4 linked regions of the Elephas maximus indicus genome follow. The protein of the gene in region 4 binds, or shares a complex with, the protein of the main gene of each other region. Links are inferred from orthologs where the notes say so. Each region holds a gene or a part of one and is shown on either strand. Other genes may lie near its edges.

What was found.
Region 1: the proteins of SUMO1 (region 4) and SENP2 are in contact, whole or in part, in a crystal structure (PDB 1TGZ), measured with the Homo sapiens proteins. The link is inferred for Elephas maximus indicus from reciprocal best matches to the Homo sapiens genes SUMO1 and SENP2. Residues at the interface, in NP_001005781.1 of Homo sapiens: Asn60, Arg63, Leu65, Glu67, Gly68, Gln69, Arg70, Ala72, His75, Glu89, Tyr91, Gln92, Glu93, Gln94, Thr95, Gly96, Gly97; in NP_067640.2 of Homo sapiens: Asp386, Lys394, Leu395, Arg396, Trp410, Leu411, Asn412, Asp413, Glu414, Thr440, Phe441, Pro444, Lys445, Arg456, Trp457, His474, Val477, His478, Trp479, Met497, Gln542, Gly545, Ser546, Asp547, Cys548, Gly549.
Region 2: the proteins of SUMO1 (region 4) and DAXX are in contact, whole or in part, in an NMR structure (PDB 2KQS), measured with the Homo sapiens proteins. The link is inferred for Elephas maximus indicus from reciprocal best matches to the Homo sapiens genes SUMO1 and DAXX. Residues at the interface, in NP_001005781.1 of Homo sapiens: Lys17, Glu18, Tyr21, Ser32, Ile34, Phe36, Lys37, Val38, Lys39, Thr41, Thr42, His43, Lys46, Leu47, Ser50, Tyr51, Arg54, Gln55; in NP_001135441.1 of Homo sapiens: Glu731, Glu732, Ile733, Ile734, Val735, Leu736, Asp738, Ser739, Asp740.
Region 3: the proteins of SUMO1 (region 4) and PML are in contact, whole or in part, in a crystal structure (PDB 8DJI), measured with the Homo sapiens proteins. The link is inferred for Elephas maximus indicus from reciprocal best matches to the Homo sapiens genes SUMO1 and PML. Residues at the interface, in NP_001005781.1 of Homo sapiens: Gly19, Glu20, Tyr21, Ile22, Lys23, Ser32, Glu33, Ile34, His35, Phe36, Lys37, Val38, Lys39, Thr42, Lys46, Leu47, Ser50, Arg54, Glu84; in NP_150241.2 of Homo sapiens: Glu554, Arg555, Val556, Val557, Val558, Ile559, Ser560, Ser570, Ser571, Ser572, Arg573.

The regions. Positions count from the first base shown.
Region 1 is NC_064819.1:29,551,099-29,558,799, reverse strand, and holds the start of SENP2 (sentrin-specific protease 2), read left to right. Parts: upstream 1-4,698; 5' UTR 4,699-4,842; coding exon 4,843-4,943; intron 4,944-7,002; coding exon 7,003-7,058; intron 7,059-7,701. UniProt on the Homo sapiens protein: Protease that catalyzes two essential functions in the SUMO pathway.
Region 2 is NC_064819.1:96,114,975-96,122,260, reverse strand, and holds the start of DAXX (death domain-associated protein 6), read left to right. Parts: upstream 1-4,279; 5' UTR 4,280-4,379; intron 4,380-5,275; 5' UTR 5,276-5,327; coding exon 5,328-5,534; intron 5,535-5,685; coding exon 5,686-6,517; intron 6,518-6,636; coding exon 6,637-6,848; intron 6,849-7,002; coding exon 7,003-7,231; intron 7,232-7,286. Other genes in the region: SMIM40 (small integral membrane protein 40), read left to right, coding at 1,965-2,204. UniProt on the Homo sapiens protein: Transcription corepressor known to repress transcriptional potential of several sumoylated transcription factors. Down-regulates basal and activated transcription.
Region 3 is NC_064831.1:64,098,269-64,105,918, forward strand, and holds the start of PML (protein PML), read left to right. Parts: upstream 1-4,650; 5' UTR 4,651-4,733; exon of another isoform or gene 4,734-5,757; coding exon of another isoform or gene 5,758-5,951; intron 5,952-6,730; coding exon of another isoform or gene 6,731-6,943; intron 6,944-7,576; coding exon of another isoform or gene 7,577-7,650. Other genes in the region: STOML1 (stomatin-like protein 1), read right to left, coding at 5,758-5,951, 6,731-6,943, 7,577-7,650.
Region 4 is NC_064824.1:101,097,320-101,104,623, forward strand, and holds the start of SUMO1 (small ubiquitin-related modifier 1), read right to left. Parts: upstream 3,015-7,304; 5' UTR 2,871-3,014; coding exon 2,859-2,870; intron 1-2,858. UniProt on the Homo sapiens protein: Ubiquitin-like protein that can be covalently attached to proteins as a monomer or a lysine-linked polymer.

The sequences.
Region 1 (7,701 bases), on a different chromosome or scaffold from region 4:
GCAGGATGACCAGACAGAAGCAAAATATTTTTTCTCATTAAAAATTCTTTAAAAAACCAAACGCTAGCAAGTGCCCATCTAAGATGCATCAATTGGTCTCAACCCACCTGGATCAAAGGACAAAGAAGAACACCAAGGACACAAGGTAATTACGAGCCCAAGAGACAGAAAGGGCCACATAAATCAGAGAATACATCAGCCTGAGACCAAAAGAACTAGGTGGTGCCGGGCTTAACCGATGACTGCCCTGACCGGGAGCACAATAGAGAACCCCTGAGGGAGCAGGAGAGCAGTGTGATGCAGACCTTAAATTCTCGTAAAAAGACCAGACTTAGTGGACTGACTGAGACTAGAAGGTCCCCGGTGGTCATGGCCCCCAGACCTCCTGTTGGCCCAGGACTGGAACCATTCCTGAAGCCAACTCTTCAGACATGGATTGGGCTGGACAATGGGTTGGAGAGGGATGCTGGCGGGGAGTGAGTTTCCCGGATCAGGTGGACACTTGAGACTATGTTGGCATCTCCTGCCTGGAGGGGAGATGAGAGGGTAGAGGGGGTTAGAAAGTGGCGAAGTGAACACGAAAAAAGAGAATGGAGGGAGGGAGCAGGCTGTCTTATTAGGGGGAGAGCAACTGGGAGTATGTAGCAAGGCGTATATAAGTTTTTGTGTGAGAGACTGACCTGATTTGTAAACTTTCACTTAAAGCAGAATAAAAAAAATTTTTTTTTAATTCTTTAAAAAACCTAATAAACAAAAATTTGGGGAGAAGTTTTAAATAATGGTGCATCAGTCCCATGGATTTTAGATAAGAAAGAAGAGGAAAGAGAGGCACTAGGCACTTACCTGTGCCAGAGAGAAATCCTGGGTGGTGCAACCAGTTAATGCTCTCACATGCTAACCGAAAGAGTGGAGGTTCGAGTCCACCCACAGGCATCTCAGAAGAAAGGCTTGATACTTCTAAAAAGTCAGCCATTGAAATCCCTGTGGAGCACAGTGCTACTCTGACATACGTAGGCGTCGCCATGCGTCCGAGTCGACTTGATGGCAGGTGGCTCTTGGGCTGGGCACAGAGGTAAGCTCCGTAAATCTGAGAGGCAGATTTTATTAACGTCGTTTTATAGATTAGGAAACAGGCGTGCATAGGGCTTGCTGCTCTTTCTCCATCAGAGCAAGGCCAAGCTGTTTGTGGTAAATGTGGGCAAGTTTTGTAATGAAATCCAGTATGAGAAAGGAGTATGTGGACTTTTTATTTTTTGAACATTTTATTGTGTTTTAGGTGAAAGTTTACACAACAAACTAGTTTTCCGTTCAATAATTCATGTACAAAGTGTTCGTGGCAGTGGCTGCAATCCCTGCGATGTGTCAGCATGCTCCCCATTTCCACCCGGCTTCCCCGTTTCCATTTGTCTGTCTTCCCTGCCCCCTTTCTGCTTCTCATCTTTGCTTTTGGGCAAACATTGCCCATTTACTCTTGTGTAGTTGATTGTTCTAAGGAGCACATTCTCCACAGGTGTTATTATTTTATAGGCCAATCTATTATTTGGCTGAAAGGTGATCTCTGGGAGTGGCTTCAGTTCTAAGCTAGAAGGGTGTCTTAGGGCTATAGCCTCAGGGTTCCTCCAGTCTCTATCGGACCCGTCACTCTGGTCTTTTTTATGAATTTTAATTTTGTTATATATTTTTCTCCCACTCTAACCGGGACCTGGAGCCCTGGTGGCACAATGGTTCAGAGCTTGGCTGCTAACCAAAAGGTCGGCAGTTGGAATATACCAGACACTCCTTGGAAACTCTATGGGACAGTTCTACTCTGCCCTACAGGGTCAGGATGAGTTGTAATCAACTGGATGGCAATGAGTTTGGGGTTTTGGTTAGCCCACTTCAGGACCAAAGCAACAACATCCCATCTTTGGGTGCCTACCTCCATTAAATGGTCCAGAACTCTGTTCCCCAAAGAGGTCAGCAAAACCAAAGCTGAGCAGAAATCTTTTACATTCAATGAATGCTACAGGGAAAATTTGCAAGACCAAAGGATGGATTGGGGGGGCTGAGTCTTCTTTGACCTGTGAAACTGAGGTAGGTTTTGAGGACAATGGGGTGGGGCCTGGAAGAGCTAGAAGGTAAGGATCCCCGAGGGAGGGGGATTAGGATCCTTGCAGAAAACCAGAGCATGGTTTGGGAGACGGATCCTGCGTAGGCTGAAGCTATGAGGCTGTGCCCCTCCTGCGGTACAGGGGCACAAATTAACCAAATCAAAAGCAGAAATCTCAACATCCTGGTTACTCCACTTGGCCCCGGGGCATTCTCCCCTGACTCTCCAGTGAGGGACTCTTGGGTCCAGGAACACCTTTAGCAGTGATGGGGTTGGATTTAAGGGTAACCATACTCCATGGCCAGTGGAGGGGCTTTGGCTCACAACCCTACTGTGGACTACAAGGCACCATCTGTTGGACAAATCTCAGGCGGGAGCAACTTTAAGTCTGAGTCCCCGCCTTTTTTTTTCCATTCTAGAGGGTAGCCCCTCCACTGGCCATTAAGAGGACACAGAGGGTATGTGGAGGTGTGTGTGTGCACGCTTGTGCTTAAGGCCCTGGGATTCCAGCTGAGGTCGGTGAAGCCAACACACGTTCCCTTTTCATGGCAGGTGCTATTAACGAGGCAGGAAAAGCAAGAAAATTGTCTTGGTGTTTTGTACTGGGGTACTCTGAGACTTGACCCCAATATTTCTTAAATCTCTATGATCAGTTGCTCTTCTAAAGCTGCTCTTCAAAGGCTGCTCTTTGGCTTTGGAGAAAATCCACCACCCAAAGGATTAAAAAAAAAAAAAACGAGTATGGGAATAAAGACGACCTCTTTTGGTGGAAAGGAGGGTTGAGCTATTAATAGCTGAACTGCTCTGCATAACAATGTTATCTTCTTTTGAGAGGGCTCCCAAATCTTGTGAAATTTACTGGGAGTCTGGCCTAAAATGGGACAGGTAGGTGGCCTATGAAAAGATGTTGAGGAGAGTGGCCTTAGGGCTCGTAGTGTCCCTGGAGGACATGAGCAATGGACCGTAGATACTGAATAATAGCTAACTCTAAGTCTTCTTCTCGGCCTTCCGTTATTCCCAAACTTTCAGTAACAGCCTGATGGTAGCTAGGCTTTGAAGAATTAACGGAAGGACCTGGGTCAACCCTTGGGACTTGCTTCCACCTTCTAGGAACTGTTCCCCACCCCCAGCCCCAAGTGGTAGTGGCCTCAGGTGGGAGGCTGATGGTTCTGGAGCTTTAGGAGGTGACTTGCAGCAGAATTCAAGAATACTGTCTGTTGAGGCGAGCCCTGGTGGCACAGTGGTTAAGAGCTCAGCTGCTAACCAAAAGGTTGACAGCTTGAATCCACCAGCCACTCCTTGGAAACCCTATGGGGCAGTTCTACTCTGTCTCACAGAGTTGCTGTGAGTCAGAATGGACCCGAAGGTAATGGGTTTGTTTTTTTTTTTCTGGTCTGTTGAGGAGGCTGTACTGGACAGTGCCAGCCTTAACTGAATCACAGGTGGAAGAACAAGTGCAGACAGGGATGGATCTGTGGAACACAAAACCTTTGAGGATTCTGCGAATTGTTTGGGGGGTGTTGGATCCAGGGGGTACTGGGTTTTCTATCATTAAATCGGCTGGGGTCTTGCTCTATGTTTGGTAATTAACTACAAGTGTGATCTCTAGGTTACAAAGGGAGGGTAATGAAAAGCACCCCTGGCTGGCCTTGTAGGCAGCGGGTGTCTTTCCGTCCCGAAGGTTCTGTGAAGCCTTCCTTGAGCAGTTCTACCCTGCCCCTGTCTCCCCCAGCGTGTGGTTCTCCTTTCTCTGGCTCCCACTGCACTTTGCACACACTTTTATAACAGCCAACTACCTTGTATTTATGACTTGTAGTTATCTGTGTACACGTCTCTCCTAGTAGACTGACCTCAAGGGCGAGAGACGGGCGCTGGTGGTCAGACTCCGGTTCAAATTTCAGTTCCGCCACTAGGCAGCTCTGTGATCCAAGGCGAATTACTTAATAGCTCTGTGCCTCAGTTTTCTTGTTTATGAAATGAGCACAAGACTTCTATCGCCTGCGGTTGCAGGGAGAAATGAAGGCGACAATACACGCGAAGTTCCCGGGCACACGGTATATGCAAAATAAAAGGTATCGATCACGATAAACATTTTTTAATTAACCTGGCCTACCCTTGTCTTTATTTTTATTTTTTGTTTTTACCCTTGTCTTATGCATTCAACAAAAACAGTGGTTAAGAGCTTGGCTGCTAACCAAAAGGTTGACAGTTCGAATCCACCAGCCGGTCTTTGGAAACTCTATGGGGCAGTTCTACTCTGTCCTATAGGGTGCGCTGTGAATCGGAACGGACTTGAGGGTCACGGGTTTTGTTCTGTTTTTTAATTTGTACTGTTTCAGGGACCGGTAGCGCTTCTTCCGGGTGCAGACGCCCTCACGTGTTGCCTGTGGGCCTTGTCCCGCGGTCCGCCTCAGCATTGGCTCCGCTAGAGAGAAAACCCCGCCCACATCCCTTTCGATCTCGTCAACGATTGGGCCGGGACCCGCCCACAGGGATCTTGTGGGGAGGTGGGGCTGAAGATCCGAACGCAGACGGCTTTCCGGTCGGGCTGGAGGAGGTGACGTCGGGAGTGGTGGTGGGCGGGGCCTCCTGTAGCCCTGGGGACGTTTTATCTGCCGGCCTTCGAATTGCGTCACAAGTCGGCGACTGAGCCTTGGCGGTGGTGGCGGAGGCGGCAAAGGCGGCAGTGGCGGCGAAAGCTCTGGGGTTTGCGTCTCGGGGTGTATCGGCCGCCGCTGCTGCTGGGGCCTGGTATGTACAAATGGCTGGTTAGAATTCTCGGCACCATTTTCCGTTTTTGTGACCGGCCGGTGCCCCCTGCCCGGGCCCTCCTGAAGAGGCGGCGCTCGAACAGGTGAGAAGAGAAGGGGACTGAGTGCCAACCAGGCCTGGCTGTACCCCACTCCCAGCCCGGGGTCGCGCCGATCCAGGTCCAACAGCCTTGCTCAGCCGAACCGCTGGCTGGGATGAGGCCGAAGATGTGCGGGTCGCGGGTATCCTGGTGACGTAGCCACTCCCTCCACGCTGGGAGGATGCGGCTCCGGGTGAAGGAAGGAGCCGGGGAGAGGTGGTCTTTGGAGAGGCCGCCGGTGGTAGGCTCTTTCCTGTTGTCAGAGTCCGAGTGGTTGCTGACAGCAAATCGGGCTGTGTCGTATTTTGTTGCCTTTATGCTGAAAGCTAAACAGGGAAGGAATGTTGTCTTTGTTGTGGTTCACTGTTTACGAAGCAGATTCCCAAGCGTCATCGTCGGGCAGTTAGGACAGTTAAAGAGAAGTGAGATTCATAGCTTGCCCAAAGGGATGTGACTGCGAGCAGTGTTCTCTTAGCACCAGGAGACAGCAGCTGTCTTGTTCTGAAACAGCTGTCAAACGCTGTGTGTGTTTGAGAGGCGGGGGGAGTGGTTTTGTGCTTTAAAATCGGCCTATGAGACAAGAAGTTAGGTACCTCATTCTTCAAAAAGATCACTAGTCTGTGCTATAAAATTTGGGGGAAACTAAAAGCTGTTACTACTTAGCATCTATTCCTTGGTTTATCCCCTTTTATAATATCTACTCCCTGACTAAATAATTTATCTAGAGAATAAAACACCATACAGGCCCGCTCCCCAACTTCTGGTGATGAAGTGCTAATTTCATTGTTTTTAAGCTTCAAAATAAGAGAAGATGGAAAAAAATGGTTTCTGGGAGCTGAGAGAACAAGATGATAATACGGGCGCCTGAGGATGCAGGCCATTGATGAAATTGGCAGTTGGCTAAATTCTGTTACATGCTGCAAAAAGGGCATGAGGTCAACCTATTCCTCCTCTCTACCTTTCGGCTGGGTTGACAGGAGGACCATTTAAGATCATGTTGTAAAGTACCTAACCTGATGCTTAGTATATATAAAGGTAGTATTGGTTTAGTCTGCCGCAGGGCCTTCTGTGGTATCTGGTGCATAGGACACACTTGGTACAACAGAGTTACCGAGGAAAGGAATGTTTCTCTTCCCTTTTCTTCCTTTTGTGAATCCCTGCTAGTCAGGAGAACAGTGGTTTGGAGATCAAAAGCCTGTTCTTTACCACACTTTAAGTGCTCACATCCTTAATCTAAAATCACTGTTCTCAACATAAGCCATTTTTCAGCCAGAATGAAGTCAGGGCGTCTGGTTGGTGTGTTTAAAGTCATGAAGTGAATGGTATCCTCCTGGATCTCATTCTGTTCTTTTTTTTTTTTTTTTTTTTTTGGTGAATATCATTAAAAGTATTCAGTAAGATGATTGGTAGTATGCCGTGAGCCTTTAACATTCTTGTGGTATACCTTTAGAAATGTTCCTGAATTGGCAAATTCTTTATTTCCACTGTAATCAAATTTCCATGATAAAGATGCACATAACACCTTTCCTGGCTAGGAGCTATATTTTAAGACTGCTTATGTTTATTGTTTGAAGTAGAAGGTAACTTTCTTTGGGATCATCTTTCAAATGATTTCCTTGCTTGTTTTCAAATAATTTCTGGAGAGAAAAAAAAGCTACTAGTTCAGGGCTCTTACCTAGGCTCGTCTACTAGCTAAGTGACTCATGGCCCATTTCAAGTTTGTATCTCAGCTTGATTACAGATTGTTATATGATAGGGAGTTCTGGGTCACTCTCAAATAGTTAAAAACCTTAGTGTTAAATCCTCAAATGCTAAAGACCTGCTGGGGTCCCCACGAGTCAGAATCAACTTGATGGCAGTTAACAACACCATAGAGCGGTGTTCTTTTAAACCATCAGTTGAATCTCATAATTATGATGAAGTGGGTGGAAAAAGAGTGTGTTGTATAAATAGTAAGTTTGCTCGTAGAAGTGGATATGTTTACGTATATATGTCTGCATATGTATATGTACTATACATATATGTATATATATACACTTTTTTCCCCTCTGTCTCCTTTCAGCAGTCTGTTTTCCACAGTGGACACTGATGAAATACCAGCCAAAAGACCGAGATTAGGTACTGAATATTAATTTAAAAATTATTTTTTAAATAAGAAAAGTATATGGATGAAACAAAATTCTAAAGGTAAACTGTATGTACTGAGAAAAGTCTCTGCTGTCTCTTTCCTACTCAGTTATCTTTTCTAGAGATAACCACTGTTACTAGGGACCGTCCAGCTTAGATATGTTGGGTATTTATTTTTAAATTCTAAATCTTATACAGAAAAGGTGCTTTTCATTTTTGAGGAAGAAACATTGTAAAACCTAACCCAAGCTGAATGATTTAGGTTGAATACTGAGTGAAAAAAATCTAATGTATTGTCACAAATCTTGTACTTCCTCATATCTGAAGGGTTAGATGTGGCTTTGTAGAAGAAAATAAAACTAGGTTAAGAGTTGAAAAGGAAAAAAAAAAGAATGAAGTTCTAATATATGCTACGACATAGATGAACCTTGAAAACATTATGCTGAGTGAAATAAACCAGACACAAAGGACAGAGAGTGTATAGTTGTATTTATATGAACTATCTAGAATAGACAAATGCATAAGGATAGAAAGTATATTAGTGGTTACCTTGGGCTAAAGAGAGAGAACGGGGAGCTGTCCCTTAATGGGTCCAGAGTTTTTGTTTGGGGTGATGAAAGTTTTGGAAACTTGT
Region 2 (7,286 bases), on a different chromosome or scaffold from region 4:
TCTAACCAGAAAACTTATGTCATTAACAGCTTACAAGGTATTAGAAACTATAACTATAAAACATCAGATAGTTAATTAGAAAACTTCTAACTTTAGAAATTAACTTTAGAAATTGATAAATAGAATGTAGTAAAAAACCTCTAGATGCTGGCACTGCATCCATGTGCTATGATAAATAAATTGTAACTTATAACTAGATAGGGGGTCTCTAAATTAGAAATACAAAAGTTTGAAGTATTTTGCAATGATGTAAAATATAGTTAAACCTCCCTAAATTGGCTCATCACATGTATATGATAAAAACCTCCCTAAACATATTTGTTGCATCTATGCTATAACAAAAACGTTCCTAAATTGGCTCGGCACATATGTGATATGATAAAGGAATTATTACATAAAATTGCCTCTGTGTTACTTGGTCTTGAGACACTAGGTAAGTCGTAAACAACCACCAAATCTTTGACCTTGAAGAAAAAAAAGGTGACATACTAGTCTCTGTTAAACATGACATCACCTAATCCTTATTGTGCAAGGTCAAATTAAAAATTACATGTATACACTGGATCTCGGCTCATGCTCTGAGAGGCAGGCAGAGGCAAAGTATCTCTTTAGTCTCTGACTTTCTCCGAAGACTATGAGAGCTTGCAGGCTACCCACCGCTACAGACCTCGGACCCTAGCTATGCGGGAGCTCCACCAAGTTCCAGCCATGGTCAGTCTTCCTCCCGAGAACCTCTTGTAAAAGGTAAACGCTTTAAGTCTAAAGATTGGGACTCTAACTACTGAACTAACACTGTAATTGTAATTGTCAATTCTTATTCTTGGGTTCTAAAATGGAAGACTTCAGTGCGTGCCTTGCCATGACTACCTTGCAATAAACTAAAGGAATTTATGCATGGCAAACCCGAGCATTTCTTTATGTTTAAGACAAAATCCTACAAGAAAACGACATCTCTATCCCTCTCAAACCTCACATCTTATTTTTGCCCTGGAGTTCCTGGGTTGTGCAAACTTTAACATGCTTAGCCAGCAGAAAGGTTGGCGGTTTATGTCCACCGAGAGGCGCCTTGGAAGAGAGACGTGGTAATCTCTTTGAGAAATCAGCCACTGAAAACCTTATGGAGCAGTTACTCTGACACACGTGGCGTGGCCATGCTTTTTTTAGACTAAAAGGCAACTCCTTGGCTTGTATTTGCCCCAGTAGTTCGCAACTACCCCGCTTGGACCCACCGACCAATCAAAATCTTTCTCTTTTTATGACCACCCCTTGAGCTCACGATGTCCAATTATAATCCGCCTCTCCCAAAATTCCAAAAGGTCTAGGTTATAACGTCCAATCTCAGCCAAAGGCAGACGTGAGTGGGGGTGGGGTGGGGGTGGGGCGGGGCGGGGTGGGGGTGGGGCGGGAGAACTATGCCTGAGCTGACTGTAGACCCCGGGCACTCGGCTACTTGTCCCCAACCCCCTCAGGAGAGGCCCCCACCCAGCCAGCCACCCGCTGTCAAACCCAAAGGGACTTTAACGGCCAACTGAAAAATAAAAGGCCCAGCCCCCTCCTTGACGGACAGCAGCTCACAGTAGCACACAAGGTCCACTTGCTCACCCTTTCTCTATAGGGTCCCCAGACCTTGAGCCTTGACCTTAAAGACCCAGAATGTGGACAGTTGGGCTGCCTGCTTGTTCCAGTTTGTTTGTCTCTATGTTGGGCCTAATGATTCCAAATCACAGAATCATAAAGTGGTAAAACTGGACAGGATTTTAGGGATTGTTTAGTCCAGACCATTCGCTTTATACTGGGTAATTAAATGATTGCTCCAAAGGCTCTCTTATCTCTCTTGAGTGGGGGAATTAGGGTCAAGACAGGTGCAGGACTTGCAAGCACCACACCCCTTAATCCTGGCAGTGCTGAGCAAGGCTTCCATGCCAACCTCCCTGATCCAGCCAGCTGTCAGACTGGGGTTCAGGATGGCAGAGGAAGGCAATGTGGACGAGGACGATGTGTTCCTGGTGTTTGCCCATGGTCCCTCTCCTCCCAGGGGTCCCCTTCGTCAGACCTTGGACAAGGCCTTCTTTATCTTCCTGGTCCTCCTCCTGACACTGCTGATGCTGCAGGCTGCCTATAAGCTGCTGTGGCTGCTACCATGGGCAAAGTTTGGGGACTGGCTCCTGCAAACACCTCAGAAGGAGCAAGAGCTGGAATTGTGACCATCTTTCCTAGAAGCATTCTCTCTCCCTGCCACAGAGGTGAGAGGGGAGACAGGAGGGAAATGGGACTGTTGGGGGTTGTGGAGGGGACATTTATATAGCTTAGAGAAGCAATCTTAATTTCCTTGAAGTAATTTTGAGAATAAATAATTATGAAATAATTTTGAAAACGTATGTAATCTCTCATTTTTAAGTGGCATCTAAAATTTTTCATCATAAATTAAGGTTGCTTCAAGAATTGAAATCAATCTTGGCATATTAATAATGTTCACATTTTAAAATAAAATAGTTAAATCACCCTTTTGAATGTCAAATTGAATTGAGATATCATAGTGACTTGATGGAGCCCAGGTGAAATAGTGGTTAAGAGTTGGGGTGCTAGCCAAAAGGTGAGCAGTTTGAATCCACCAGCCACTCCTTGGAAACCCTATGGAGCAGTTCTGCTCCATTTCTAGAGGGTCGCTATGAGTCGGAATTGACTCAACCGCAAAGGGTTTGGTTTGGTTTTTTGGATGAAAGGAATAGGCTCTTTGTCTCTTTGAGACAAGGTAAGATTAACTAAAAAAAAAAAAGATTACCACAGAGATTTTATGGTTGAGAGCTATACTCTTCTTTTTTTAAGAGGGAGGAAGTCCATTGTAAAAGGGGAAGGGAAGAAAGAGAACCTGTACTGCCGGTGCTTACTCAGGAAAACAATTTTGGGAAAGGTGAGGATCTGGAAATTAGATCCAGTAAAACGCCCATGCTCAGGTACCCTTTGGAGTGTCTTCATGGTCTCAATTTGAAGACTTAGGCTTAGAGAACTGGAGAGAAGTGGTGTGGAATTCTTTAATGGGAGGGAAGGTTTGATGTTCTGGGATTCCAAAGATGTGGGGGATGTAAGGGTGGTACTAGAAAGTGGGAAGATGCTCGCTACTTATGGAATGCACAGGATGCAGGAGGTGAAAATCTCAGAGACTGGAGTCGTGTTAATCTTTTGGGTTTGCACATGAGCTCACCTCTGGACTTTGCCCCTGCCTTGACGAGTCCCTCTAGCCCCACTAAAGCTGGCCGAAGGGGTGCGGGTGAGACAGGCATCACAATCAGTTTCTTCCTCCTTCCTTCTTTCCACAGCAATCCCACAGGAAGAGGAGACGAGACCCCAGGTACTTCACGAGACTCATTTCTCATTTTGTCTCATACCCTTACAGTGGCAATTTGATCAGATTCTTAAAACCCTTGCCCCATCGCCGGTCCTTAGGCGCTGGACTCCTCTACGAAGCACAGCCTCCTGGTCAGCGCCTCCTGCGCGTCGGGGAACCCCTCTCGAGAAGAACAGAAAACAACCCAGGTCCCATCTGCTTGATTGATCGTTACGTGGTGATGGGTGAAAAGCAAATCAACAGTGGCAATAATAATAACGCATTTGTGTAGCGCGTTGTGCTTCTTCGTGTGCATGTGTTATGATTTCACGATGGGGAGATGGAGGCATCTAGATGTAGAGCTAGATGGAGGGTAGCAGCAAGGGGCGTGCAGCCGTCGGAAGAAAAGGGGCGGACGCAGTTGCTTAAGCTTTGCAAACCAACACCTGGGAGATAGGAAATCTGGGCCGGAAGGTTTGTCAATAGCCCAGCGGAAGGAAAGGATTTTTTTTCCTCTTAAGAGATTCTCACTCTTCTATGAAACCTTCCACAGCCTTGGGGAACCCAACTCCTTATCTGTCCTGTTCCGTTCCCCCCCCGCCCAATTGGAAAAGTGGCTCAATCCTCCCTGCACGCGATTCACCGGCGGTTGCGCTCAGTGCAAGAAGTTTCTGATTGGCGGAATCGCAGAAGCACCGGGTGAAAAGAGCCTCACTGGCTTCGCGCATAAGTCCGGACTGAGACAACGCCGTACGGCAAAATGGCGATCCCCGGGTGCTTCGCACTCCTTGAAGGGACAAACCACGCCCCCTACAGGTTAGGGGATAGGGCGCCGCAGACTACTGGAGATACTCGAGGGGCGGGACTACATCACTTCCGGCCACAGGACAACGTTCCGTATCATAAGATGGCTGCGCCTAGGTGCATGTAAGCGGAAACTCTGCGGCTTCCGGTCCTGAGTAGGGACTGCGGTGGGAGGGGGAAGGAAGGCGGAGAGAAGCATGCGAGGTTCTGAGATCAGCGGTGAGGGTCGCCTCGAGAGACCGTTTCTGAGGTGGGCGCTGGACGGTGCGGGCAGACAGGGTGGGGATATCGAGGGAGAGGTATTGTGGAGACCCGAGAGCTGAGCTCGAGAGCAAACTGTGGTACCTCCTATTCCTGAAGGGGAGAGAGCGGCCGGGGGCTGAACTGCGGGGGGAGGGGGGATTTGGCGGGAAGCTCACCTGGGGAAGGGGGCCGGACCCAGGATTGGGATTGAAGAGGAATCAAGAGAGCCCAGTCAGGGGCTCACGAGCGGTTACGGGTCAACGGAGAAAAAAGGGAAAATTAGGGTGGGGTGAGAGGGAGGGGATTCGAGGTAAAATATCTCCAACCTAATTTTTTTTTTTAAAGCCCCGGTTTGAAGGGACCTATTAGACGGTGGAATATGGGAATAATTCAAGGAGAAGAAAGGAGAATGGGCTGTTGGGAGAGAACCTGTTCCTCCACAGAGAGTGTAGGAGTTGGGGTGATCATTCAGGATGGGGTGGGGGGTGCAGGTTTGACGTGGTTGAGGGCGAAAGGGGGAAAACGTGGGGTGTGCCAACAGTGATGTAGCATCTGTGCAAGAGGGTGTCAAAGAAATAAGATGCAGTGTGGTAAACTGTCCTGGGAGGAAGGATCAACTTGCCAACTGTGAGAAACCTTGGATAAACGAAACAGAAAGACCGGAAATCGATCTGAGGGGTGGAGCTGGAGATAGGAACTTACTGTTTGTAGGTGGTTGGGGATCCCCCTCCCAGGTGCAGGGCCCGAAAAGTATATGTAACTAATGGTTGCTGATGATAGTCAGTGAAGACACTGTTGGGCAGAGCTGGGTATTACTGAAACCCAAGGAGATTGGAAAATGTGTGAGATGAAGGGATGGGGCTATGCTGGAGGGGCTCTTTCTGAGGCCCCATCCCCTTCCAGCAGGATTTCTGAAATCCCCACCACTTCCTCCCTCCGGGGGATTTGATCCCCCATGGCCACCGATAACAACATCATCGTGCTGGATGATGATGACGAAGATGAAGCAGCTGCTCAGCCAGGGCCCTCCCACCCACCCCCCAATCCGGCCTCGCCCAGGGCAGAAGCCCCTGGCCCCTCTGAGCCCTGTGTGTCCGAAGGAAGCAGTAGTTCGGGCAGCAAGAAATGCTACAAGTTGGAGAATGAGAAGCTGTTTGAAGAGGTGAGCTTTAAGGGAGGAGATTCTTGTACTCTAGGGAGGGGGAGGGCTGACTGGCTCTCCTGTCCTTTCTTCCCTGCTAACCCCACCTCACCTTCCTCTCAACCATCTCCCTTGTCTCTTTTCCTCTCCTTTCTTCCTCTGAACTGTCCAGTTCCTTAAACTGTGTAAGATGCAGACGGCAGAGCACCCTGAGGTGGTCCCATTCCTCTATAACCGCCAGCAGCGAGCCCATTCTCTGTTTTTGGCCTCGGCGGAGTTTTGCAACATCCTCTCTCGGGTCCTATCTCGGGCCCGGAGCCGGCCAGCTAAGCTCTATGTCTACATCAACGAGCTCTGCACTGTTCTCAAGGCCCACTCAGCCAAGAAGAAGCTGAACCTGTCACCTGCTGCCACCACCTCCAGTGAGCCCTCTGGAAATAACCCTCCCACAGACCCCCCCTTAGACTCCACAAATGCTGAGACCACTGCCTCTGAGGCCCCAAGGACCCGTGGTTCTCGGCGGCAGATCCAGCACTTGGAGCAGCTACTGGCCCTCTATGTGGCAGAGATACGGAGGCTGCAGGAGAAGGAGCTGGATCTCTCAGAACTGGATGACCCGGATTCCACATACCTACAGGAGGCACGGTTGAAGCGTAAGCTGATCCGCCTCTTTGGGCGCCTGTGTGAGCTGAAAGACTGCTCTTCACTGACCGGCCGTGTTATAGAGCAGCGCATCCCCTACCGTGGAACCCGCTACCCAGAGGTTAACAGGCGCATTGAGCGGCTTATCAACAAGCCAGGGCCTGATACCTTCCCTGACTATAGAGATGTGCTGCGGGCCGTAGAGAAGGCAGCTGCTCGACACAGCCTCGGCCTCCCTCGGCAGCAGCTCCAGCTCATGGCTCAGGATGCCTTCCGAGATGTGGGCATCAGGCTACAGGAACGACGCCACCTTGATCTCATCTACAACTTTGGCTGCCACCTCACAGATGACTATAGGCCAGGTAGGGAGTTTGCAGGATGCCCATCAGCAACCCATCAGGTGTGTGGCAGAGGGGCATCCCTTTAGTCTCTCCTTCTAGAGTTTGGGCTGAATGCTCTGACTTTATATCTTCCCACATAGGCATTGACCCTGCACTGTTGGATCCCATCCTGGCTCGGCGCCTTCGGGAAAACCGGAGCTTGGCCATGAGCCGGCTGGATGAGGTCATCACCAAATATGCAATGATGCAAGATCAGAGTGAGGAGGGTGAGAGACAGAAGAGAAGGGCTCGGCTCAAAGGCACCTCTGGCCACCCTGCAGAACCCCCCAGAGCCTCCTCAGATTCTGGTGAGGTATGAGAGGGATACCTCCTTCAGAGAGGCCATGTCCTTCCCCTGCACTGGCCTCCAGGGAGTCTGGGGTGACTGCTGGGGGAATGTGCAGAAAGAAAGCAAGGGCTGGACTCTGGAGCAAGGGATTTCTTAGAGAAACTCCTTTGTCCTCTAGGGCCCTAGTGGAATAGCATCCCAGGAGTGTCCTACCACCTCCAAGGCTGAGACAGATGAGGAAGAAGATGAGGAAAGTGATGAGGAGGAGGAAGAGGAAGAAGAAGAGGAGGAGGAAGAAGAAGAAGAGGAGGAAGAAGAGGAGGAGGTTACAGATTCTGAAGAGGAGGAGGATCTGGAACAGATGCAGGAAGGTCAGGGGAACAATGAAGAGGAGGAGGAGGAAGCAGGTATGTCAGGGAAGCATTCCCCCCATGTGTCAGTTCCCTCTACTTTGTTGAGCAT
Region 3 (7,650 bases), on a different chromosome or scaffold from region 4:
GCAGCCGATCTACCGCTCTTGGGTTCACCAGCCCCTGCAGCTATATGAGTCAGGAGAAGACTTCAGCCTGACGCATGAACTTAGGATTTCCCAAACTCTACAGCTGCATGAGCCACTTCCTTGATATGAATCTCTCTCTCTCTCTCTGTATGTATATGTATGCATGTACAGATAGAAATATATACATATATATATATATACGTTGTTGCGGTTGTTAGGTGCCGTTGAGTAGGATCCAACCCATAGCGGCCACATGCACAACAGAATGAAACACCGCCAGGTCCTGCACCATCCTTAAAATCATTGTTATGCTTGAGCTCATTGTTGCAGCCACTGTGTCAATCCACCTCGTTGAGGATCTGCCTCTTTTCTGCTGACCCTGTACTTTGCTAAGCATGACGTCCTTTGTCAAGGACTGATCCCTCCTGGCAACACGTCCAAAGTATGGAAGATGCAGTCTCGCCATCCTTGCTTCTAAGGAGCATTCTGGTTGTACTGCTTCCAAGACAGATTTGTTCATTCTTTTGGCCGTCCACAGTATATTCAATATTCTTTGCCAACACCACAGTTCAAAGGTGTCAATTCTTCTTCAGTCTTCCTTATTCACTGTCCAGCTTTCACATGCATATGATGCGATTGAAAATACCATGGCATGGATTGGGGCACCTTGGTCTTCAAAGTGACATCTTTGCTTTTCAACACTTTAAAGAGGCCCTTTGCAGCAGGTTTACCCAATGCAATGCGTCTTTTGATTTTTTGACTGCTGCTTCCATGGCTGTTGATTGTGGATCCAAGTAAAATGAAATCCTTGAAAACTTCAATCTTTTCTCCATTTATCATGATGTTGCTCATTGGTCCAGTTGTGAGGATTTTTGTTTTCTTTATATGTTGAGGTGCAATCCATACTGAAGGCTGTGGTCTTTGATCTTCATTAGTAAGTGCTTCAAGTCCTCTTCACTTTCAGCAAGCAAGGTTGTGTCACCTGCATAACGCAGGTTGTTAATGAGTCTTCCTCCAATCCTGCTGCCCCGTTCTTCATATAGTCCAGCTTCTTGGATTATTTGCTCAGCATACGGATCGAATAGGCATGGTGAAAGGATACAACCCTGATGTATACCTTTCCTGACTTTAAACCCATCAGTATCCCCTTGTTCTGTCCAAACAACTGCCTCCTGATCTATGTAAAGGTTCCTCATGAGCACAATTAAGTGTTCTGGAATTCCCATTCTTCGCAATGTTATCTATAATTTGTTATGAACCACACAGTCAAATGCCTTTACATAGTCAATAAAACACAGGTAAACATCCTTCTGGTATTCTCTGCTTTCAGCCAGGATCCATCTGACATCAGCAATGATATCCCTGGTTCCACGTCCTCTTCTGAAACTGGCCTGAATTTCTGGCAGTTCCCTGTCGATATACTGCTACAGCGGTTTTTGAATGATCTTCAGCAAAATTTTCCTTGCGTATGATATTGTTCTATAATTTCCACATTCAGTTGGATCACCTTTCTTGGGAATAGGCATAAATATGGGTCTCTTCCAGTCAGTGGCACAGCGGTTAAGCGTTTGGCTGCTACACAAAAAAAAGGTCAACAGTTTGAATCTGCTAGCTGCTCCTTGCAATCCCTATGGGGCAGTTCTGCTCTGTCCTACAGGGGATCGACTCGAAGGCAATGGGTTTAGTTTTGGTCTAAATATCTCTTGGCATAGACGAGTGAGCACCTCCAGCGCTACATCCATTTGTTGAAACATCTCAATTGATATTCCGTCAATTCCTGGAGCCTTGTTTTCTGCCAATGCCTTCAGAGTCCCTTGGACTTCTTCCTTCAGTACCATCAGTTCCTGATCATATGCCACCTCTTGAAATGGTTGAACATCGACGAATTCTTTTTGGTATGAGTCTGTGTATTCCTTCCATCTTCTTTTGATGCTTCCTGCGTCGTTTAATATTTTCCCCATAGAATCCTTCATTATTGCAACTCAAGGTTTGAATTTTTTCTTCAGCTCTTTTAGCTCGAGAAACACCGAGAGTGTCCTTCCCTTTTGGTTTTCTATCTCCAGTTCTTTGCACGTCATTTTAATACTTTACTTTTCTTGCGCCACCATTTGAAATCTTCTGTTCAGTTTACTTCATCATTTCTTCCTTATACTTACATATACAGAGTGTTATGGATTGAAATGTATCCCCAAAAAATGTGTGTCAACTTGGCTATGCCATGTTTCCCAGTATTGTGCGACCGTCCAACATTTTGTGAGCTGATGTGATTTTCCTATGTGTTGTAAATCCTGCCTCTATGGTGTTGAGACAGGATTAGAGGCAGTTATGTTAATTCGGCAGGACTCAATCTATAAGATTAGGTTGTGTCTTAAATCGGCCTCTCTTGAGATATAAAAGAGAGAAGTGTGCAGAGAGACAAGGAGACCTCATACCACCTAGAAACAAGAGCCAGGAGAACAGTGTGTCGTTTGGACCTGGGGTCCCTGTGCTGAGAAGCTCCTAGACTAGGGGAAGACTGATGACAAGAACCTTCCTCCAGGGCCAGCAGTGTGAGAAAGCCATCCCCTGGAGCTGGCATCCTGAATTTGGACTTCTAGCCTCCTAGATTGCGAAAGAATAAATTTCTCTGTTAAAGCCATCTACTTGTGGTATTTGTGTTATAGCAGCACTAGATAACTAAGACAGAGAGAAGCGCTTCACTCGTTTAGCATTTCCAAAGAACCCAGCCTAAGACAATGGATTAAAAAAAAAAAAAAAAACTTCTCGGAGAATAACAAAGAAGCTAATAGCAGGGGGTACTTGTTTGGAGGAAGGTGTGCGAAGTGTCTGGATGGGGTCAGGAACGTGAGAAATCATTTTCTTTGTGCCTTTTTAATCTTTAAAAAATTTTTGAGCCATGTGAATGTATTAGCTATTTAAAAATTAAATAATTATTTTAAAATAACACCAAACCAACAAAAAAACCCAGTGCCGTCGAGTTGATTCCGACTCATAGCGACCCTAGAGGACAGAGTAAAGCTGCCCCATAGAGTTTCCAAAAAAACACCAATATTAATATATATTAACACATCAACATAGCATAAACATTTTAAAAGTACTATTCACCAGGTTGTCTTGAGGAAAAAAAATAATATATAGGCAATGTTGAGTCCAATACAGTGACACATACAACACCCGATAATGGCCACTATTTTTGTCCCCTCCCAAAATCCCTGCCCACATCCCTCTCATACTTTAGGTTCCAGTTCCCCAAATTGAAAGTGCCCACGTGCCTCTTCCGCCTGTACCCTTGCAGGGGCCTTCCCCTCTGGCCGACTATCTTTCCCCTCCTCTTCTCTCATGGCCCACTTAGCCTCAAGTCTCAGGCATCACCTCCTCCAGGAAGACTCCTGTGATTGACATAACCCTCATGCTCCCTTCCTCCATGGCAGTCCTCACCCTTTGTGGACTCCAAGGTTTGCTTAATCCTCCATAGCCCAGGGTCCTTGAGCCTATGCACTCCTTTCCCCTGTAGTGTTGCCCTGGCCAAGAAATGAACTCTCTCCCACACCCTCCTCACCCCATGTTGGCTGGGTAGGTCCTGTCCTCTACCCACACCAAACCAAAACTAAACCCATTGCCTTCGAGTCGATCCCCTGTAGGACAGAGCAGAACTGCCCCATAGGGATTGCAAGGAGCAGCTAGCAGATTCAAACTGTTGACCTTTTTTTTGTGTAGCAGCCAAACGCTTAACCGCTGTGCCACCACCCACACAAATATCCAGAAAAGTTTCAGTTTCCCCTAAATGTTACGTTGCTCTTCTCAAACCCACAGAGAAACTCAGCAGTTTCAGTTTCTCCTAGGTTTTGATCTCATCATTCCTGTCTCCCCTGGCTCAGCCTGGAGGGGTAAGTGCTATCTTCTGGCAAAGGCACGGCAAAGGCACGGCTGTCCTGGTGAGGATCTGCGGGGCTTCCTGTTAACGCTGTGCCTGCTGTGTGCAATAGGGATGACGGAATACATGAATCGCTCACTCGCGCAGTTCATGGTCCCTCAGGCAAGGCAGGCAAACATTAGGAACACCTAGGGACCAAGCACTGCCATCCCCACGGGGCCTCAAGGGGCATGGGAGTGTGGCTGCTGGGGATTGGAGGGAAGACTTAGTCCCAGCTGAAAGGGGCCAGTAAGGGTTAGAGGGCACAGACAACCCCAGCTGGAAAGTTTCAGGGCCCGGAAACACCTGTAGATGTTCCAGGCTTGGGGAGAGGGCGCCCTAGAGCTAAAGCCTGAATCCCCATGGCCGTGAGGTCTGCGCTGGGCCTTAGGGAGGTGCCTCAGGCACTGTGGAGACACACAGGAGGAGGGAAAACGCAGTGCCAGGCAATGGCTGGAGCAGAGGGGCAAGCTGGACCAGCCTGACCTGGACAAAGAGGGAGCACGCCCTGGGAGGGCCAGGCCTGATTCCAGAGGACAAGCTGAGCTTGTTCCTCAAAGGAGACACTCATTTAGCTCTGATTTTTGTCTGTTTTTTTCCGTAACACTCTCCAGGAAGTAAGCTTCATTTCTCAGGACTAGAGAAGTCGGAGGCCCATCTCTGGGGCCTCTGGGGCTGGGGCACTGAAGAGAAACCCACTGGGCCCCTGGGGCCAGGCCTCAACGTCTATCTGTGTGCACCCCTTCAGCCAGTGGAGAAACAAGCAGTGACCCTGGGTGGCCCAGGAGAGGATGATTGCAGCCCAGCCCCTCTCCTTAAGGTGATGAGCCCCCCGCCCTACCCCTCATTAGGTCCAGGTGTTTGGGGGCCCAGTTTTGACCTGCCCATGCCCCTCTCTCCTAGTAAACCTGTACCTCCACCATAAAGAGGGATAACAGAGTGACCCCCTGTCCCACCCTCCTGCCTGTGGGAGGAGTCAACACTTGGAGTCACTCAGCAAAGAAGGGCACAGCAGGGGTATCTGGACCCCCGTGGCCCTGGCCCAGCAGTAGGGGCATTGCCTCATGGACCCTCCTAGGCTACTCCCACTACATCCAGTCTCCACTCCTTCTCTCTTCTGATTGTAAACACATTTATTTCTTTTGGAGGTTTTCAGGCCTCTGGCTAGAAGCACGGGAACAGCAGGGCTTCCCTTCATGCTGCCCTGGGTCCCGGCCCATCACGCATGCAAGACGGCCGGTACATGAATCAGGTTATCCTCAGGAGCAGGGCCAGGGGAGGAGCAGGCCCTGCTCTCTCCCATCCCCACCCTCCAACTAGCCTGGGCCTGGGCTGCACCCAGGAAGGCGGGCCCAGCCCGGATCCCCAGGTGCCTCCGCTGTAGTGAGTGCTTCTCGGTGGCTGCCTGGCTTCTCCCTCCCCCAACCCTTTCTGCACCCCTCCTTCTGAGCTCCCCCAGCATTCCGAGCCGGAGCCACACAGTCTGGCCCCTCGCTCAAGGCTAAAGCAGCTGCTGCCAGGCTGTTTCTGTGGTCCTGGCTTCCCAGCCAGGTAGGCAGCAGAGCAGGGCAGGCCCATCCACACTATGTACCCAGCTCAGGGGATGGGCAAAGGCTTGTCCAGGGAACCAGTGTTGCAGGCAAGAAGGGCAAAACAGCCTGGTTTGGCCTCTCTCGGCCTCCGCTGTCTGCCAGCCTCTGTCCATTGGCCCCAGCTGGGCCTGAAATGCCAGAGAGCCTCAATTCTCCAAGGTGCATCAACAGTGCTGCCTCCTCCTCCAAGAGGCCTTCCTGGCTTGGCACCAAGCTCGAGGCTGGGCTACAGGTGGTCAGCTGAGGCTGCTGCTACTTCAGGGCCCTGAGGACAGCCTCCAGCTTCATGGCCACGGCCAGGTCACCCTTCACCTTCAGCCGCCCGCTCATGTAGGCCCCCAGGGGCCGTAGCTCCCTACAAAGCAGGGCCCGCAGGTCCGCCTCGGTCATCTCCACCAGCACGTCAGGGATGCCATCAGGCACCCCACGTCCCACTCTCCCTCGCCCTGTTGGGGAAAGAAAACGGAGTGTTAGTGGGGTGATTACCGGGATGGGGGAGGGGTGCTGCTGAATTCCCCTGCTGACCTATTCTGTAAAATGGATCTTATCCGCAATACAAAAAGCCTTCCCTCCATCTGTTTCAGAACTGCTGGACTGCAGGGTTATCACGTCCTACCGGGAGAGGGGAAACCCTGGTGCCAAAGATGTTAAGTGCTACGGCTGCTAACCAAAGGCTCGGCAGTTCGAATCTGCCAGGCGCTCCTTAGAAACTCTAGGGGGCAGTTCTACTCTGTCCTATAGGGTCGCTACGAGTCGGAATTGACTTGACAGCACTGGGTTTGGTTTTTGTTTTGGACTGGGAGAGGTGGAAAGCAGTGGTTGGAGTTGAGGTGCTAACACCCTGGGTTTCAGTCCTATTGGCTGTGTGGCCGCTCAGAGCCTCAGTTTCCTGATCTGTGAAACGGGGATGATAGCAATCCCTAAATCATAGAATCAGGTGCAATAACACACAAGAAGTGCTTCACACAGTGCCTGCGACACAGTAGGGCCACAACACACGCAGGCTCTTGGTGTGGGACGCCTGGCCCTCTGAGCTGTACTGCCAATGGTGGGGGGCCGAGCCTGGACAATCATTGTCGGAAAATGGCATCTGAGCCCCAGACTGCCATTTGAGTTCACCCGAAACTGCTGGCAGGAGTAGGAGACAGTCTGAAAGAGGACCACTGGGGGTGGGGGGACCTACAAGCAACCTGGGTAGGAAAGAAGGGCAGGCAGGCTGTCGCACCTGTGGTGAGGTCCAGGAAGTAAATGTTCTGGGTGCCACTGGGCATGATGACATTGAACTGGTAGCAGGCTCCGACCTGGCTGACCAAGGCCTCAGACAGGAAGGGCTGCAGAGCAGTCAGCAGCTCCTCAGCCACAGGCTGCTTCAGGCTGGGCCCAGCGCTGACACTGGGGGCAGGCAGCTCAACTTCACTCACCATCTCCAAGGTGTCTGCTGGGGAGGGAGGCAGAGAGGAGGGAGCAAAGGTCAGTGTGCTGCCAAGGCCAGGGCACTGTGGCCTCAGTACCTGTGTGCGGCAGTTCCCCTCATAGCCCTTTCAGGCCTCTATCAACTTCCTTCTCCGCTAAGAAGCACCCCCTGGGTTCCAGCCCTAATCCCCCAGCCAGCTCAACCTACTCCAGCTTTGAGTATAAGACTCGTTTCCCAGCTTCCCTCTGGGCCCTGTTGCCTCCCTCCCATGGGGGTTCCCAAAGGCCTCCACACTCCCAGACACCTGGACTCTACTCACTGCCTTAGCTCTGGTCAGCTCTAGCATCAGGGCTGCTTGAACAGCTGTGCAGGGTGTGCCCTGCACAAGTGTGCCTGGTTAAGGAAGAACGTGGCCAAGTGCAGCCTGAGCTGTGCTCTGCTTGCCAAGCTGAGTGCTCTGGTGCAGGGCCCCATATGCCCAAACTAGATGCCTTTTTCTGTCTCCATCAAAGGTGCTGTATGAGCTAGAGAAGCCCTGGCTAGCACCAACCTCCCACAAAACACCCTTCTCCCCACAAAAAGTCTCCATTTCCTCTCTCAGCCCAGGTACATGAAGAGCGGCCTCCTCTCCCCTACCATCCTCGCAGGGCTCCTCACCTGGCCCCGGGGGCAGGGCACCTCCTGCCACTGAGGACATGCCTCCTCCCAGGAAGTGAAGGGCCAGCTGCTGG
Region 4 (7,304 bases):
GAGTAACAGTTCTCAAATTTTTTGATCTCAGGACTCTTTCACACTCTAAGAAATTATCAAAAGCCTCATAAACCTTTTGTTAGCTTCACAGCATGAGATTTATAGTATTAGAAACTGAGAAAACTTTCGTTTTAAAATAACAATAAACCCATTGAAAGTTAGTAAATAACATTTTTATTCAAACATGTTTTCCACAGGGGTTCAAACTGAAATAAACCAGTCTGAACCCCTGTTGAGAATTTCCTTTATAATAAGTTCCCGGAGCCCTGGTGGCACACTTGTTAAGAGCTTGGCTGAAAAAGGTGAGCAGTTCAAATCCACCAGCCACTCCTTGGAAGCCCTATAGGGCGGTTCTAGTCTGCCCTATAAGGTCACTGTGATTCGGAATCAAGTGTATCGCAACAGCTTTTTTTTTTTTTTTTTGGTTAATAAATTCCCAGGAGATGCTAATACTGCTGGTTAGAAACAAATCCTGAGAACCACTAGCAGGGCAGTGGCTTTCAAAAGTTAGTATACATAAGAATAACCCAGGAATCTCGTTAAAATGTAGATTCTGAATCAGAATATCTGGGTAGAAATGCACATTCTTGGCAAGGGGTTTGAACCGAAATAATCCAGCTCAGAAGCCCTGGGTGGGGGGGCGGGGGTTCTTTTTAATTTTATTGTGCCTTAGGTGAAAGCTTACAGCTGAAGCTAATCTCTTATTCAAAAATTTATACACACATTGTTTTGTGACACTGGTTGCAATCTCCACAATGTGACAGCACACTCCCCCTTTCCACCCCGGGTTCCCTGTGTCCATTCATTCAGTTCCTGTCCTTTCCTGCCTTCTTCTCTTGCTTTTGGACAGGAGTTGCCCATTTGGTCTCATACATTCGACTGAACTAAGAAGTACATTCGTCACGTGTGTTATTCTTTGTTTTATAAGCCTGTCTAATCTTGTCTGAAAAGTGGGCTCAAGCCCTGGTTTTTCAAAACAAAATTCATGGGAAGCTTGGCACTGTTTTTTTGCAAATCTCTTTACTTTCTGGGTTTAACAGAATGCAGCAGGATTCTCACATCTGCTTCTATATTCAATCTGTTATGATATTACAGGCCACGTAGCCTCTAGAAACTCCACGGAAAGAATGAGAATGAAAAGGGCAAAAAAAAAAAGTCCCATCATCATCATGAAAATAGTTTGGGCTTTCCAGATCCCCTGAAAAGAATCTCAAGGCCACTTTGTTAGTATTGTAGGCCCTTTGTTTCTTCCTTCATGTCTTTCTTAAATGACCTAACTTCAAACCAGGGCAAAAAATTCTACAATTTATTTTATAATTCTTTCTGTGTGTTACTCTTTCCTCAGGCTATGTAGCAAATTTCAACATGCATCCTAGTCACTTCTGAGCATCACAGTAAAAGGCTGATGAAACTAAGCATTTACACCTGTTCTTTCCTCTCTGTCAACCAAGTAAACAACTGTCTAGGGAAATACTTATAATGCCATTCCCATAGCCAACTTGGGAATTAATCTAGACCCATTCGAAACTAATTTAGATTATGGTTAATTTTTAAAAACATAAATGTAAGTTTTATGCAATAGTACAAATCCACGAAGGCCTAACTTGCTCTCACCAAGATATACAAAACTTGGTTAAAGGCCAAGGGAACGTGTGTTAAATTTAAAAGTTCAAGTAAACTGTAGAGTTGAACAAAAAACATTTTTTTATAACTGTCACTGAACAAATAAACGGTCCAAAAATACTTTAAAAAGTCATAGTCCTCTGAGCAACTAAAACAAAGACCAGACAAAAACCTTGTGAATTAAAAACTAGCCATAACCGTGGTTAACGAGATGAACGAATGGGGGAAAAAACTTAGCTGGGAAAATCGATCACTCCCGATTGGGTTCAAATCCCAAGAAAATTCCTGACAGTAACACTGGGTCGTTATGAGTCGGAAGCGACTCGACAGCATCTAACAAGACTATTGAGATGGAGCACCTCGTCATAGGGGCAGCTTTCTGCAACTGCTCTACATACACTTAGTTTTCCTATTCTTTCCTCAGAGGTATCAGTCATCTCCAGGTTAATGTCCAGATGCAGGGGGTTTCTGTTGTTCTAGTACTCTTGTTCTGCTTTGTTTCTTGGTTATTCTGAGTGCTCTGTTACAACTGGAGAGTTGCTGAACCAATCCCAAGTAAGAAATGGGAAAGTACAAGTAAAGAGGCAACAGCTCTGCACCCCCAAACGGAAAAAGGATTCAAAGAGACGCGGCGGCCCGGCTCTAGCTGTAACCCTCCGAACAGAAGACATCTTCCTAAGTTCCCAGCAGCACCAAACAACATCTTCCAGCCCGAGTTCCACCCTCCTACCCACTCTGGGACCTTCCAAAGACCGGCGTCCAAAAAGTGAAACCCATCTGCTTTTCAAGGCCACGGAGCCTCCCAGTCAGGGAATTCTCTCCCGTTACATAACCGAGGCCTAAGGCCCTGCTTCTGCAATCAGTCCTCAGGAGAGTGAGGCGGCTGGGTTCCCCAGGGACCCTCTCTGGGAGGTGGAAGCTGAGCTCTGCACCTGGCAGACCCCAAGGAAAAGGAGGGACGAAGGGAGAGAGGCGGTGACCAGAGGCGCCGAGGCTTTGGGGGCGGTGGGCGAGCTCAGAGAGGGGCGGGGCGGCTTCTGGAGGCCGGCGGCAAGCCCCGACGGTGCCGGCCCTCGCCAGCTCCCCTCCCTCGCTGTCCGGGTCCAGGCCGGCCGCCCCCTCCCCCATTCCCCGTTCCCCTCCCCCGCGCCTCCATCCCCGGCCGCAGCCAGGCGCCTGGCGGACTTGCCGGCTACGGCCCCGCCGCCGCTGTCGGACGGCTCCCGGCCCGGTACCTGGTCAGACATGGTTACGGTGGCTTCACCCCAGGGGTCTCCGCACAGCAGTGACCTCGGGCAGACAGAATCTCGCTCCGGGGTTTACAAATCCGTCTCTCTTCCCCACAGCACAACACCGCGGCTGGAGGGACTTCCGCTACGCCTTCCGTCACTTCCGCTACGCGCTGGGAGGGGAAATGGGGGGAGAAGGAATGGCGAGGCGGGAAAACGGATGGGGGAGCGGCCCGGAGATGGCAGGGCCCGGGAGCGGCCATACCGATGGAAGCGCGAGTGATTTAACCGAAATCTCGCCAGTTCATCCAAGGACCAGACCCTGCGCCTCAGTCCCGAGCCCATACACAGGGGAAAAGTCCCCGGCCGCAGTATGGGAACGACATTGACAATTCAGACTCCTACCTTACACCTTGCGCGTTTCTAAAGGCTGAGCCAAAAGCTGATAACTTCCTTTTGTCCCCTCCGGTCTTCTTCGTCGTAAATGTTTCTTAAGTGTGTTGCATTAAATACTGGTACTTCTTACCCAGGAGCTAACCCTTTTAGCTCCAGCCAAACACATAACCTTGATTAAAAAAAAAAAAAAAAGATCCTATTGGACACAACCTTGGCTACTAATGAACAAGACGCTACTGAAAGTTCTCAGTCCCTAAGGAGAGGAGGTTAATTCCGACCCTTGAATACTTTGTTTCGCGTTAAAGAGTTGTCCTTTTACAATCTCTAAAATACAATGACACTATGTAGCAAGGTGTATATAAGTTTTTGTGTGAGAGACTGACTTGATTTGTAAACCTTCACTTAAAGTACAATAAAAATTTTTAAAAATACAATGACACTACAGGCATAAGGCTAGACAAATAGAATCGAGAGTCCAGAAGTAAATCGATCAACCCTCATATTTACAATCTATTTTTTACAAAAATGCCCAGATAGTGGTGAAAGAATAGTCTTTCAGCAAATGGTGCTGGAACGATTGGATATCCACATGCTAAAGAATGAAGTTTTCTCTACCTCACATCATATAAAATATTTACTCAAAGACCTAAATTTACGAGCTAAAACTGTAAAACGCTTAGAAGACAAAACACAGGTGTAAATATCCTTTACCTTGATTAGCCAGTAGTTTCGTAAATGTGACATCAAAAATGCAAGCTACCAAAAAAATAGATAAATTGAATTTCATCAAAATGAAAGATAATCTGATAAGGGCATAATGTCCAGAACATATGAAGAACAATGACAACTCTGATAAAAAGACAGATACCTCAATTTAAAAATGGACAAAGATTCTGAATAGACATATCTCTAAAGTAGGTACAAAAAATGGCCAAAAAGCACATGAAAAAAAAAATTTTTAGGTATAAAAAATGGCCAAAAAGCCCATGAAAAGATGCTCAACTTCTTTAGCCATCAGGGAGTAGGAATTTGAACCCAGGAAATCTTAACTCTATTTCCATCTTGATTTATGACAGGAAAAATGCTCCCTAGAGGAGGCCAATTAAAATCACCTGTGAACAAAAAGTAAAACTAGAACTACCATTCCACTCCTAGGTATATACCCAAAAAACTTGAAACCAGAGACTCACAGATATTTGGACACCAGTGTTCATTGCAGTACTTTGTTTACAATAGCCAAAAGGTAGAAGCAACTTAAATGTCCATCAACAGGTGAAAAGATAAACAAAATGTGGTACACACATACTATGGAATACTACTCAGCCAGTAGGAGAAATGAAGTCTTGATACATGCCATACAATATGGCTGTAGCTTGAAGGCATTATGCTGAATGAAATAAGTCAATCACAGAAGGACAGATATTGTATTACCTCACCTACATATAAAGACAAAACAGCACAAGTAGATGGTACCCGGCTACCACTACTGAGTGCTCTGACAGGGATCACAATAGAGAGTTCTGGACAGAGCTGGAGAAAAATGTAGAACAAAATTCTAACTCAAAAAGAAAGACCAGACTTGTTGGCCTGACATAGGCTGGAGAAACCCTGAGAGTATGGTCCCCAGGCACCCTTTCCGCTCAGTAATGAAGTCACTTCTGAGGTTCACGCTTCAGCCAAGGAGTGGACAGGCCCATAAAACAAAATAGACTAAAGGGGCACACCAGTCCAGGGGCAAGGCCTAGAAAGCAGGAGGAAACCGGAAAGCTGGTAATAGGGAACCCAAGGTTGAGAAGGGAGAGTGTTGATATATCGTGGGGTTGTTAACCAATGTTATAAAACAATATGTGTACTAACTGTTTAATGAGAAACTAGTTTGTCCTATAAACCTTAATTTAAAGTACAATAAAAAAGTTAAAAATATATATATACACAGAAGAAAATGAAAAATATCCATAATCTAATCACCCAGAGATGAAGATTTTGATATATAATTCTTGAAAAAAAAAAAAAGGCAAGAACAAGCAAATGTACAGAAACCAAAATTTATTCGTGGTTACGGGGAGTGGGGGCAGGAGGGAGGGGAAAAGGGAGAGCTATTGCTTCCGGGGAAACCCTGGTGGTATAGTGGTTAAGTGCTACGGCTGCTAGCCAAAGGGTCTACAGTTCGAATCCGCCAGGTGCTCCTTGGAAGCTCTATGGGGCAGTTCTACTCTGTCTATACGGTCACTATGAGTCGGAATCAACTCAATGGCACTGGGTTTAGTGCTTATGGAGTACTGAGTTTCAGTTTACAGTAATGGAAAAATCACATTTATTAAGGGTAAGCTTACACAGCTGATTAATTGCTGTCAATAAGTTGTAAAACATTGAATTTGCAGAAGATGTGTGATAGATATATTTACAACAACAAAAAGTAGCTGCTGAAGCTTATGTGTAACCAAACACGTCATGGAATTGGTCTCTTTGGAGGTTTCGGGTAATGGTTTCATGGGAAATCCCAGCTAATAGACCTAATAGTGTGTTCAGTGCTTCTGTTTTACCTCCTAGTTTGTCATGTCGTGCAGGGGGTCTTAAAAGCTTGCAAGTGGACATCAAAGTTACAATAATTGGCCTCTATCCATCTGGAGCAACAGAGGAAGCAGACTCAGGAATAGGAGGAAGAAATGGAATGTGTGGCTAATTACCTCCATAAACATATGCCTCCTTTGCCATGAGACCAGAAGAACTGGATGGTGTCCACCTACAACTACTGAACACTTTAATCAAAGATTCCATAGAAGAATCATGATCAAAAGGGGGAAAATGCAGAACAGAATTTCAAAATCTCACAGACTCTAGACTTTCTAGAGACATTGAGGCTGGATGAAGCTCTGAAACTTTTGCCCTAAGATAATCTTTAAACCCTAAACCAAAATACCCCCTGAAGTCTTCTTAAAACCAAACAATAGTTTAGCGTAACTAGTAAAGAATGTCTACCTTGAGTATTGTACTCTTTTAAGATTTATCTATATAGGATCAAATTGACAAGGACAACTAGGAAGATTAGATAGGAAACATAGGGGGCAGTGAGTTTATGACAATGGGGGGAACAACTCAGAAAATAAGTGTGAGAATGGTTGCACAACTTGAACAACATAATCAATGTCACTGAACTGTACCTGTAGAAATTGAATTAGTATATGTTCTGCTGTGTATATTCTCTACAGCAACAAAAATGAAACAAACAAAAAAAATCACCCAAGAAGGTTTTTGGATTAAGCAAATCATCCAAATGAAATGTTCTTGAGAGTTTATTCCTTTCTGCCTCACTCCCCACCTTGAAAATCACTGCCATAGCAAACCAGTTATGGCTGGAGTGTAGTACTACATTCCTCAGGTTGTTATGGTAATAAGCAGGTGGTTTGAATTTAAGATTTCAGGGGTGGAGAGATTCTTGGAGATAACAAGGATAGGGGTTTCCATGAATGTGAGTGCCTAAAGTGTCCTGGGAAATGAAGAGATGGAGGAATATGAGATGAAGCATTGGATGATGTCTTAGTTATCTAGTGCTGCTTTAACAGAAGTATCACAAGTGGATGGCTTTAACAAAGAGAAATTTATTCTCTCACAGTCTAGTAGGCTACAAGTCCAAATTCAGGGTGCCAGCTCCAGGGGAAGGCTTTCTCTATCTGTGAGCTCTGGAAGAAGGTCCTTGTCACCAATCTTTCCCTGGTCTAGGAGCTTCACCGCACAGGAACCCCTGGTCCAAAGGACACGCTCTGCTCCTGGCACTGCTCTCTTGGTAGTGTGAGGTCCCCCCTTTCTGCTTGCTTTCCTTTCATCTCCTAAGATAAAAGGTGGTGCAGGCCACACCCCAGGGAAACTCCCTTTACATTGGATCAGGGATATGACCTTAGTAAGGGTGTTACAATCCCACCCTAATCCTCTTTAACATAAAATTACAATCTCAAAATGGAGGACAACCACACAATACTGGGAATCATGGCCTAAGCAAGTTGACACATGTTTTAGGAGGACACATTTCAATCCATGACAGATGGGTTATTACATGGA